Linked DNA regions of Cricetulus griseus. The protein of the gene in region 2 purifies or fractionates together with the protein of the main gene of each other region. This does not show direct contact. Links are inferred from orthologs where the notes say so. Each region holds a gene or a part of one and is shown on either strand. Other genes may lie near its edges.

Region 1 (5,415 bases), on a different chromosome or scaffold from region 2:
TTTGTATTTGTGCCAGTCATAGCACTCTTTTCTACCAGACACAGCAATCTTTGCTGCTACCAGACAAAGTGCTTCCCGCTCTGACCCAGGTGGAGAGGCTGCTTCTCTCCAGGTGGAGGGTTACCTAGAGTTCAGTGACGATTATTACACAAAAGTCCAGTACTATTTGAAACAGTCCTGGATTGTTATACCTTCAGGAGCCAAAGAAATAGATGTAGTTGTGTGGTTTCTTCAAGGCATGTGTAATGTGTTAAAAACAGCAGTGCTGGCATAAGTATAGTCTTGCTGGCTGTTAGGCTGACAGTCCTTTTGCTCAAGGTAGCTAGGGTGGCAAGAGAGTCCAATAGCTATCAATAAGGAAGTCAAATTTTCCTATCAACATCTTATTGACAGAAAAATGAGCATCATTAGAATGATGCTCAAATTTGCTCAAAAATGAGCAAATTAGAACTTAAGGATTTTAACACTAATTAATGCTAATGATGATTTTAACCATGCTTTATGAATGTTTAATGAAGACCCAGTGTTTCACAGTGTGTTGTCTCTTCCTGAGAGTATTTCTCTTCAGTCCTGAGAGAACAATGACAGTCCAGAAGAAACTATTCAAGTCCAGCTTGATGAACAGGTTTTACTGGGGTGACTTGGGCAGCTGCCACACTATTGGCTTTCCAAGTGTCGGGATTAAAGATGTGCACCAACACATCCAGCTACAATGTGATTTTTTTCAAGGAAGCTAAAGTGGGGATCCTCCTAAAGAGATGTTCATCTCTCATCAACAGGTAGCAACATTGGATGTTTTACTGCTGTTGGTAATCCAACTGGATGCCAGGAAGAACATGATGAAAAGTAAATTCAGAAGAATACAAAAACAGACCACCATACCTGCTTTGTGGCCGATCTTGCCTATGCTCTGGTCACTACTCTGAAGGACCAGTGATACAAGTATTCTGAGAGTATAAATGAGATGCCACACTTATTTTTTTGAAACTAAATACATTTTAATAGAAAACAAAATACAAAATAACTCTTTTCAGAAAACAGAAATATTTAATCCGTTTCCACACATTAGAACTTCCTTTGTCCTTAAAACATGGTTTGATATTTGCTGAGTGTGCACTCATGATTCATTCCTGTGTTCACTATACTGGTACTGCAGTGAGGGGTGGAAGCAGATCATTGAGGGAGAAAAAGACACCAAAAAGCCACATCTCAGAATAAACAGTCATCTGGAAATCCAGCTTTTAAGCCTATTTTGAGATTTATTCAAAATTATTCTTTATCATAATTTTGTTGATGGTGCTAGGGATGGAACCTTGGACAATCGACTCAAGTGCTGAGGCCCATCCTCTGCCCACCATAATATTTCTTCTAGGGTAGAGAAGTACTGACAGAGTGCAGCCAGTAAAAGAATCTTTCTCTCCCACCATCACTGCAAGAGCTCAATGTTCAGTTAAGCTACCTGCCTGCTTGCAAAAGCACATTATATGGTACCCCTTTCTCCTGATACATGGCTACCAAAGTCTGAATTCCCTGAACCTCAAAATTCCAAGTATCATAGCCAGTGCCAGGAGTCAAACCTGCAGACAGAAGCAGAGACACCTCTGCCAATGCTAGGTTTCCTCCTCAATAATAATAATTATTATTAATAATAATAAAAAATCCTGGTTCTATCATTATGGAAAAGAAAGACTGCTAGATCATCCCTTCCTTTCCTAGTCCCTGTCACCACTTCCCTTGAGGGGTAGCCACAGGAGACACTGTCTACAGCTGCTACAGAGGAGTTCTGCAACTGTTCCAGTAACCCTACTGGGAAGAGGGAAATGCAAAAGCAAGGTGCCTGCATAGAGCCAGGAGGCATCAAGCCTGAGCATACAGCTCTCAACTGGAGTCTTGTGCACCAGAGCTGTGTTGGGTGAGTGTGGGGTAGGGGAGGGCTCTTTTGCAATCACTGATTCAGTTTTAGCAAGTCCTGGACTGTGACCAGTTTTCCAGCCCCACCAAGTCTGCCACCTGAATTAAAAAATTAATGTTCTTGATTCTCTTGTGTGATTCCAGTCACCAGGAGGAGGTTGCAGGCCATGAACTGTACACTCAAGACATTGCTCATCTGTCCAGTGTACACGCCCACGAGCTCACCCGAAGAGCCATCAGCAGGTGTGTTGCAGCACGTGCTTCTGATGTCCCAGACACGTACAGAGTTGTCCATGGAGGCAGAGGCAACCAGACCGCTGTCTGGGCTAAAGGCCAGACTGGTGATACTGTCCGTGTGGCCTCTCAGTTCTTTAAAAAGCGTCCCAGAGGCCAAGTCCCACAACTTTAACCGCTGGTCCTCACCAGCGGATGCCAAGTACTTACCGTTGGGAGAAAAGGAAAGGGAAAGCACGGGACCTCGGTGACCCGTGAATAGCCGCACTGAGTTCCCCTGTTGGGCGCTCCACAGCCGGACAGTTTTGTCAGTGGAACCTGTTGCCAAGTAGTTTGAATTGGGGTGGAATTTGACACAGTCCACGTCAGCCAGGTGTCCTGCATATATCCTCAGCGGGTACGTCCGATCAAAAGACCACAGCCTGGCAGTACGGTCATGGGACCCACTGGCAAAATATAGGCTGTAGGGGCTGATGTCCACATCCCATACAGGGTAGGCATGTCCCTGATACAGCACAGTGTTGGTGAAGCTCCCTAGGTCCCAGTACCTGATGGACATATCTTCAGAACAAGAGAGCAGCCCCGAGCTGTCTGCGAGGAACCTTGTGCTGTACACTGGGCCACAGTGTCCTCGCAGGATCTTCATCTCTGTGCCTGTATTATCCTCCTCACTCTCCTGGAACATGGTGGGTGGGGTGGTAAAACACACAAGAAGAAAATATTCAGTGGTCTCACAAGAAATATAAGCTTGAGCTGAGCATTGGTGGCATACGCCTTTAACTCCAGCACTCAGGAGGTAGAGGCAGGCAGATCTCTGTGAGTTTGAGGCCAGCCTAGTCTACGGAGAGAGTGCCAGGATAGGCTCCAAAGCTACACAGAGAAACCCTGTCTCGAAAAACAACAAACAAACCAACCAACCAAACCCAAAACCCAACCCAACAAACAAACAAAAAAAGAAATATAAGTCTGAAAGAGGAAAGGTAGAGAGCAGGGCCTGTCAGAGGGTGTGCCCTTCATGGCCACTCCAGCTGACCATGCCCAACCATAGGCCACATCAGACTGAAGATAAATACTTTTTGTGAGTCTTAATTTTCGAATGAGGATATGACTGAAAGGCAAGCCTGTGGGACATCTACTATTCATTCTTTTGAAAACACTGACTTCTGAATTTATATAAAGTTCATAGATTCTCCTTAATGGAGCTCTCTTCAGCCATCAGCTCTTATCATTTTGTAGCCAAGTTATTCCATTTCTATTACATTTAATGAAATCTAGAGATAGGCCCGGTAGTATACACTGTGATTACAGTACCAAGAAAGCTAAAGCAGGAAGATCTGCTTTAGAAGAATCTCAAGAACCTGAGCCAAAACAAAATTGCATAGGAACTTTGAGTCAGAGAATACAGCTACCAATAGACCATGAACACTGACAGATAAAAGCTGCATATGGTGACTTATGTCTACAGTGCCAGGACTCAGGAGGACCATCAAGATTTTGATATTACATAGACTTGGGGGTGGGGGTGCAGTAAAACAAAACAAAAAAACAAAACAAAAAAAAGGATAGGAAGGGAGAGTCTCATCCGTATCTCCTAAAGTAAACCATAGACTGAGAAAGACAGTAAGGCATGGTGGCGCATACCTTTGATTCCAGCACTCAGGAAGCAGAGGCAGCTAGGTTTCCAAGTTTGAGGACAGCCTGGTCTAACATAGAGAGTGAGAGTGAGGAGGGGGGAAGCTTACAATAGAGCCCAGTGACTCATGTCACCTTTGGAAAAAAAAAAAAAAAACAGAGGAAATGTCCACAATAGCACTTGGAGATAAAGTGTGCTCCCACAGCCCTTTCCCACAAGGCTGCAGGCTATCAGTCCATTTCCCCTCTATTCCCTCACAGGGAAGCTCCTGAACATACAGGTGTGACTCTCCACTACAATGGGTAACACTAGAAGACAATCAAGATTCCTTAACACTCAGCTTTGCTGGTTACTGCACAGGAAAAGAACACCTTTTTAGTAGGCACTGTTTTTTCTACTAGAAAACTCTAAGTCAAAGCAAAATAACTGCTTTCAATGTGCACAAAACTTGAGGGAGTTAAAACACTGGTGTCTGTCTACAAATACTCAAAATGGCTACTGCAGACACTTCAAATTAGAAATGCAAAAGCATTTGGGTGCTCAAGAAATGCTGATCATGAAGGCTAACTCTCTCAGCCCAAGTTTTTATACAGTAGTGACTCTGGTAACTGAAACTCAGGTCACTGGCCATCCCAGATTAGCCACTCCACCTGACAACAGGTTATTGCACTGACTGAGAAGACACCAGAGTTCTACAATCCATGTCTGTTTTCAAAGTGGGGCTGAGACTACTCTTGGCATACAGAGCTAGACACACAGTACATCAGTGTCCTTATTTTGGACAAGGCTGTGAAACAGCCTAGATTTCTGCAGGGGAAGACAATATTCACTACTGTTTAAATGTGGACCCCCTAACTACCAATGCTGTTTCTCACTATTTGAACCTGCACAGTACACATTTGAGAGCATACAACAACAGACATGTAATGTGATCCCTAAGTCAGTATCAGCTGAAGATCTGTTAGGCTCAATGATGGCACCTGCTTTTCAGACAGTGGTAAACACTGTCCACTCATAAATAATGTTGAGTATTGGGAGAAGGGTTTAATGTGCATTTATCAGGCATGAGTGGGACTCAATGGCTATATCATCTGGCATGAATCCAGCTTTGGCTGCCTAGGAAGGGGACTACAGAGTACTGTTTGGTGAGAGGTCAGGTTTAGAATGAACACTCTAATAGGAAGGATTTACAAGAAAGAATAAATGGCACCCCTACCTCCTCCTCCAGAGTGTCACAAGCTAGACGGATACGGGATGTGTCCACATGGTGGGGCTCTGATTTCAGCTTTTTGGACCGCAAGCTCCAGAGCTTTATGCAGGAGTTGTCAAACCCAGCAGCCAGAAGCTTGCTATCAGAGGAGATCTCTGCAGTATTCAGCAGCTGCTCTGTGTTATAGAAGGCATAGAAGCAGATGGTGGTGAGGGAGGGAGGTCCATCCTTGACCCGCTTGATACTCTCCTGCAAGACTTCCAGGGCAGCCTCATTCTGCAGAATAGGGTTGGGCACATCTGGTGGCTCCAGGCCGCTGCTCTCACTGCGGGAGGAGCTGCCACTGGCATATAGCTGGTAGTCTGTCCTCTTGGCAGGCTGCACGTCCAAGTGAATGTGCACGGCAAGCACCTTGCACAGGGCAGTG
Region 2 (5,415 bases):
GAAGGGATTATGATGTTCCTGCCTACACCAGCTTCAGCAACCTGCTGTGACATACACATCACCACTCTATGCTGCGGGGTGTCATGATGGGGAATGGGTGAAGGTACTGGGGGTCACCATGTCACTTTATAGCAGCAGGATAATCTTCAAAGATCTGCTAATTTTGTCTGTCTTATTTTTTTGGTCATTTTTTCTTCTTGTTTTTCTGTTAATTTTTTAAAGCTTGAATTGTGTAGTAAAATGGAAGGAAAAAGCGGCATTCTGAACCAACACCACAAGGATGTGTCTCACCTTCGCAGGCAGTCTGTAAGAGTGGTGGTGCCTGAGGCATGGCTCTCCCCGTTAACCACACTGCCCTCACTCCCTGGGCTCAAGGGCCAGAATGGGGTGGAAGAACCAGGCAGGTCTAAACTGATGTCCCAGAAGGGGTCTATGGTGGTTGAGACGCCACTGCAGAAGAGACAACACATGAGAGCACATGAGGACTGGTGTGTACCATGGCCTGAGGCAGCCCCTAGAGATAGGCCGAACATGCTGCCTGCTCTGCCCATCTGCCCACCAAATGCCTCAGGATAGAACAGGAATGTCCACAGTAATGATTTTATTTGGCGAGTCTGGCAGAGTATAAAGCCTTGAGTTACAGGCAGAGCTCAGCGTGCTGGGATCCAGCTTACAATACTTAGGAACTGCAGCAACACTACTCAGAAACTAGGTGCCCCACATAGGCGAAATCACCAAGGAAACCCCCATCCACAGTACACAGGCCAAACTTGGTAGTCCCACAAACAAGGACCACTGCATTTAACAACGTTATCTGGGAACTGGAGGGTGGGATGAGAAACCTCCAACTACATTGACTCCTTCCTGCCAGGAGGTTTACATCACAATATTAAATCGAGGAAATTCAGAATAGTAAATTGGGTTCAGAAATGGACCAAAAATTCAAGGCTACCTCTTGCTAACAGAGCACAGTAGTTAAAGTCCAGGGAGGGAGGAATTCTACATTGCTCAAAGACAAAGTCTGAAAGGAGCTCTGCGCCTGGAAAACCATAGGAGCACCCCTAGATTCCTGCATCCCGGTCTTGAACCCTGTCCAGAGTACAGGTGAGCACTGGGGGGGGATGGTGACCAGGGTTTTCAAATCCAGGGGTAGAGTAAGAACAGCAGCATGCCTGGGGTGAGCCAGTGGAGCAAACACCAGGCACACCAGGATGGGGTGAGGACTTCTCCAGTCACTGCAAAAGGATCCTTTCTGCTTCTGGAGGGGAAGCACTCAGCAATGGCTACACCTGGAAACCACTGTGGCTTTATGTCAGCAAGTGGAAAAGGAGCCAATTCACACCTGGAGCATGGAAGGCAATGACCTGCCACATGAAGGGGCTATTTGCTTTGGCTCTTAGTCTTGAAGACTATAAGAAAAGCAGAAAAACATGTATGAAGCTGCCGAGGACACCCTGCTAATTGCCAGCAGAACAAAACTCTACAAGTCCCCAAGGGAAGAGCTCCCAGCCTTCAGATTCAGGCCATCTGTTGCTTCCTTGTGTCTTTTCTAGCAGAGGCATTGTATGTCAAATGACCAGAGCATAGCTGTTTAAATAAAATTGTCCCTCACCTGAAACTAGTGTAAGTGCTTCACTACAAACACCACAGAACTCAGGGAGTCTTCTCTAGGGCGGTGCTGAGCTTTATAAAGGCTTGAAGTCCAAACAAGACTTTCCCTTGCTGACTGGGAAATGCACCAGGATATGGCACAGCCAAGGCAGATTAAAGCATGCCTACTGACCGTCAGATGATGGGAGCACTTACTGGCAGACTTGGCATGTGACATCAGACTGGAGCCCACCCGTAAAGATTTGGTCGATGATGCAATTGCAGTGGTTAGGGTTGTTGGCTTTCTTCCCATTGTCATCACCTGAGGACAAAGTGTGATTACCATTAGTAATGTCACCAAGACAGTACAAAGCAGTCAGCAAGTCCACATCACCCAGCAGAGACAGGAGGACACCAGGAGCACCAACACTCTATGAGGCATGTGAAGGCTTTTAGATTTATCTGGTAGCAGGGATGGGGTGGGGCATGTCACTCTTCCTTTTCTTTCTTTCCTGAGCCAGGGTAAGGTAGCTCTGGCTGGCCTTGAACTTGCAGAGATCTGCCTGCCTCTGCCTCCTGGGTCTTAGGATTATAGAACTGTCAGCACACTAGCCCTGGGACCACTATTCTTGTACAGAGGCTCACACCTATAATCTCAGCACTCAGGAGGCTGAGACAAGGGGGCCAGTGCTTTAGGCCAGCAGTAGCTACACAGGGAGACCCTGCCTCCAAAAATATAAAAAATCAGTTGGTATTAACAAAACAAACTGTGAAGAACTCATTAGAAGAAACCATGCCATTTTCTTTAGTGGAAATAGAACCTGACTATACTGTCTCCAAAACAAATCAAGCATTCTCCTACAGTTGCCTGGGTGAGCACTAGCCTTGCTCTGATCCACTTTTAAGGGAACTCTCCGCCTGTCCCAGCCCAGCAGGGAGATGGTGGCAGGCCCACCTTTGCAGTGCCGGTGGAGGACGTCCAGGGCTGCAATGAGGAATTCATGTGCGTCCTGCTGCTCATAACCTGCCAGGTGCCGGGCGTGCGTCCACACCAGGTGCAGCAGCTTGTACGGAATGTGCGGGGAGCGGTGCCCCGAGTAAAACTGTTTAGAGAGAAGGAAAAGGGACAACTAGGACACCTGCAAGTCTTCATCACCCTCCAAAAAATCCACAGCTGTAGACTGGGTAGTTTGACCGAATGTCCGTCTGTCCTTGGAGACAGGGTTTCTCTGCATAATAAATAGCCTTGGCTGTCCTGGAACTCACTGTGTAGACCAAGCTGGCCTTGAACTCAGAGATCCACCTGCCTTTGACTCCTGAATGCTGGGGTTAAAGGCTTGCAACCACCACCACCTGGCATTGTTTTTCTTTTCATAACTGATTTTTTAAAGAAGATTTATTTATGTACTTTATATATAAGAGTGTTTTGTCTGCATGTAATTTGTGCACCAGAAGAGGGCATCTGATCCCATGGGACTACAGTTACAGATGGTTGTGAGCCACTATCTGGGTGCTAGGAATTGAATTCAGGACCTCTGGAAGAGCAGCCAGTGCTCTTAACTGCTGAGCCATCCCTCTAGCCCTGCAAATTGTATTTTTATTTGGACTTTCTAGATTTCACTCTCACTTTTCTCCACTTTATTTTTGCTGTTAGCCCACACAATAAAAAGCAAAATCAAGTGATTCATTCTATGCAATGTTTGCCTTACACAGAGCACCTGCTATCTCTTATACCTGAATGCATTTCCCAAGTTCATCATTAGATGAGGTTTCTTGCACTTTTTCATTTGTCACCCCTTTGCCTGAGAAGCCACTTTGTGGAAATTCAAGTACACAATGAGAGTAAGTATATTTAAGGCCATTTTCAGAAACTGGGAAGTCCTGTTTTAATTCTAAGCCTTTTTATAGCAACAAGAAAAACAAAACTCAAGCCAGCAAACAGCAATTTTTAAAACCAAACATTCAACATCAGAATCTAAAGTTATATGAAGATATATTTACATGCTGAGAAAATGATGGTAGGAAAATACTCAATGTCGTTGTCTTCTGTAACAACACCACTACATTTCTGTAAGAGCAGAAGACTTTGCATATATAGTAAAATCACACAACATCCTTGTCAATGAGGTGTCTCAGGCAGCACTAACTGGCTCTGGCACACATGAAACAGTGTGTGTGGTATGTTTAAAACCAAGGCTGTGGTGAAGTCACACAACACAACCTTGGCAAGTCCGGTCAGAAACACCTCAGAATTGGCACCTACTTGGACCTGGAAGTTTTGGTTGTTATTCTTTCAGATTATTATTATTTATTATTATTACTTATTGCGTGCACTCAAAGATGATCCGTATTTGTGACCTCCAGTTTGTCATGACCCATAAAGCCATGCATTAAACTAATTTAGAGTTGCAAACCATCTGTTTTCATGTATTAGCAACAACAGTGTGTAGCAGAAACCCAACAAAAAGCTGACATCAATCTTCCACCCATTTCTCTGTTTGCAGTGAGTCAAGCCACCAAAATAGTCTCAGCAAGTTTCTTGGGCCAGGTTGAACACCCAAAAGGTTTGGAACCAGAAGTGTCTAAGATTTTAGAATATTTGCAAATGAGGCATATTACAAGATAGGACCCAGGTCTAATAAATAAATAAATAAATAAATAAATAAATAAATAAATAAATAAATAAAACCTCAATGTGTACTATGAAGGTAATTTATGAAGTGTGTGTATTAAACTATCCCATGGCAGGTGTGGAATTCATTACATCAGTGACCAAAAACTGGAAACCACACAAAAGTGTTTGAGCCAGGCAGCTCCAACTGCAGTGTGGCCACTATACAACAGAGCATTCTTCGGTAGGAGGGCTGATGCAAATGCCACACATGGACCTTAATGTACCACACGGACAAACCTAACAAGGGTGGTGGAGTATTGCACATACACAACACTGGGACACCTGCCACACATCCATCCATACCAGGTACACAGGAATGGGAATTCAGGGGACAGAAACCTGTGTCACCAGGAGCAGGGGGCTTGGCTTCAGAAAGGTATGAGGGTAGAGGTGTTAAGCATTTGTCAACTCACAAATCTATATGCTAGCAAGTTTTTTTTGTTTGTTTTTTGTTTTGTTTTGTTTGAGTCAAGGTTTCTATGTGTAGCTTTGGAATCTATCCTGGCACTCGCTCTGGAGACCAGGCTGGCCTCGAACTCAGAGATCCACCTGCCTCTGCCTCCTGATAAAGGCGTGCGCCACCAACGCTCAGCTATGCTAGCAAGTTTTACTGTGTATATCTTACTAAGCCCTGGTTTAAAAATAATCCAAGAGAGATGAATTAGTCACAAAGTAATAGCTAGTTGAAAGCAGTGAACTCCAGCATTCACTTCCCAGCATGTTTTCTTTTCCCTTGTGACCTCTGACAATTTCACTTGTCCGCCCCTACGTATCTTCAGTCTCAGTCACCAGTAACTGCAGGTGTTAGTAATGGGCTGGACTAGGACAAGAATTGGCAAGCTTGTTCTGGAAACGGCAGTTGAATCATTTTAGTTACAAGGCCACTGTGTAACTCTGTCCACTGCTCAACCCTGGGCTGTGGCCAGGCAGCCGTGACAACACAAGAGCAAAGATGTCTGGATGCACACTAGTAAAAGATCACTGAAAGGAATGAGGCCAGCCTGCTGGCTTCTGGGCAGGGCATCCCATTTCTGGGATGGGAAAAGTTATTTCTGCTCTGATACATGCTCTGAGGCCACTGAGACACCAGGTGCTGAGACAAGCCTGAACAAGGAGACATCACTTTGCTTAGGGATAGACACGGATAGGCA

The links. The genes of interacting proteins can lie anywhere in the genome.
Region 1: the proteins of ubiquitin carboxyl-terminal hydrolase 22 (region 2) and Taf5l purify together in Homo sapiens (affinity purification with mass spectrometry; 3 studies listed by BioGRID and IntAct, with this or other methods). This does not show direct contact. The link is inferred for Cricetulus griseus from reciprocal best matches to the Homo sapiens genes USP22 and TAF5L.

What each region holds. Positions count from the first base shown.
Region 1 is NC_048596.1:200,680,619-200,686,033, forward strand, and holds the end of Taf5l (TAF5-like RNA polymerase II p300/CBP-associated factor-associated factor 65 kDa subunit 5L), read right to left. Parts: coding exon 4,995-5,415; intron 2,822-4,994; coding exon 2,024-2,821; 3' UTR 977-2,023; downstream 1-976. UniProt on the Homo sapiens protein: Functions as a component of the PCAF complex. The PCAF complex is capable of efficiently acetylating histones in a nucleosomal context. The PCAF complex could be considered as the human version of the yeast SAGA complex.
Region 2 is NC_048600.1:75,147,373-75,152,787, forward strand, and holds part of ubiquitin carboxyl-terminal hydrolase 22, read right to left. Parts: intron 2,694-5,415; coding exon 2,546-2,693; intron 1,913-2,545; coding exon 1,807-1,912; intron 451-1,806; coding exon 292-450; intron 1-291. UniProt on the Homo sapiens protein: Deubiquitinase that plays a role in several cellular processes including transcriptional regulation, cell cycle progression or innate immunity.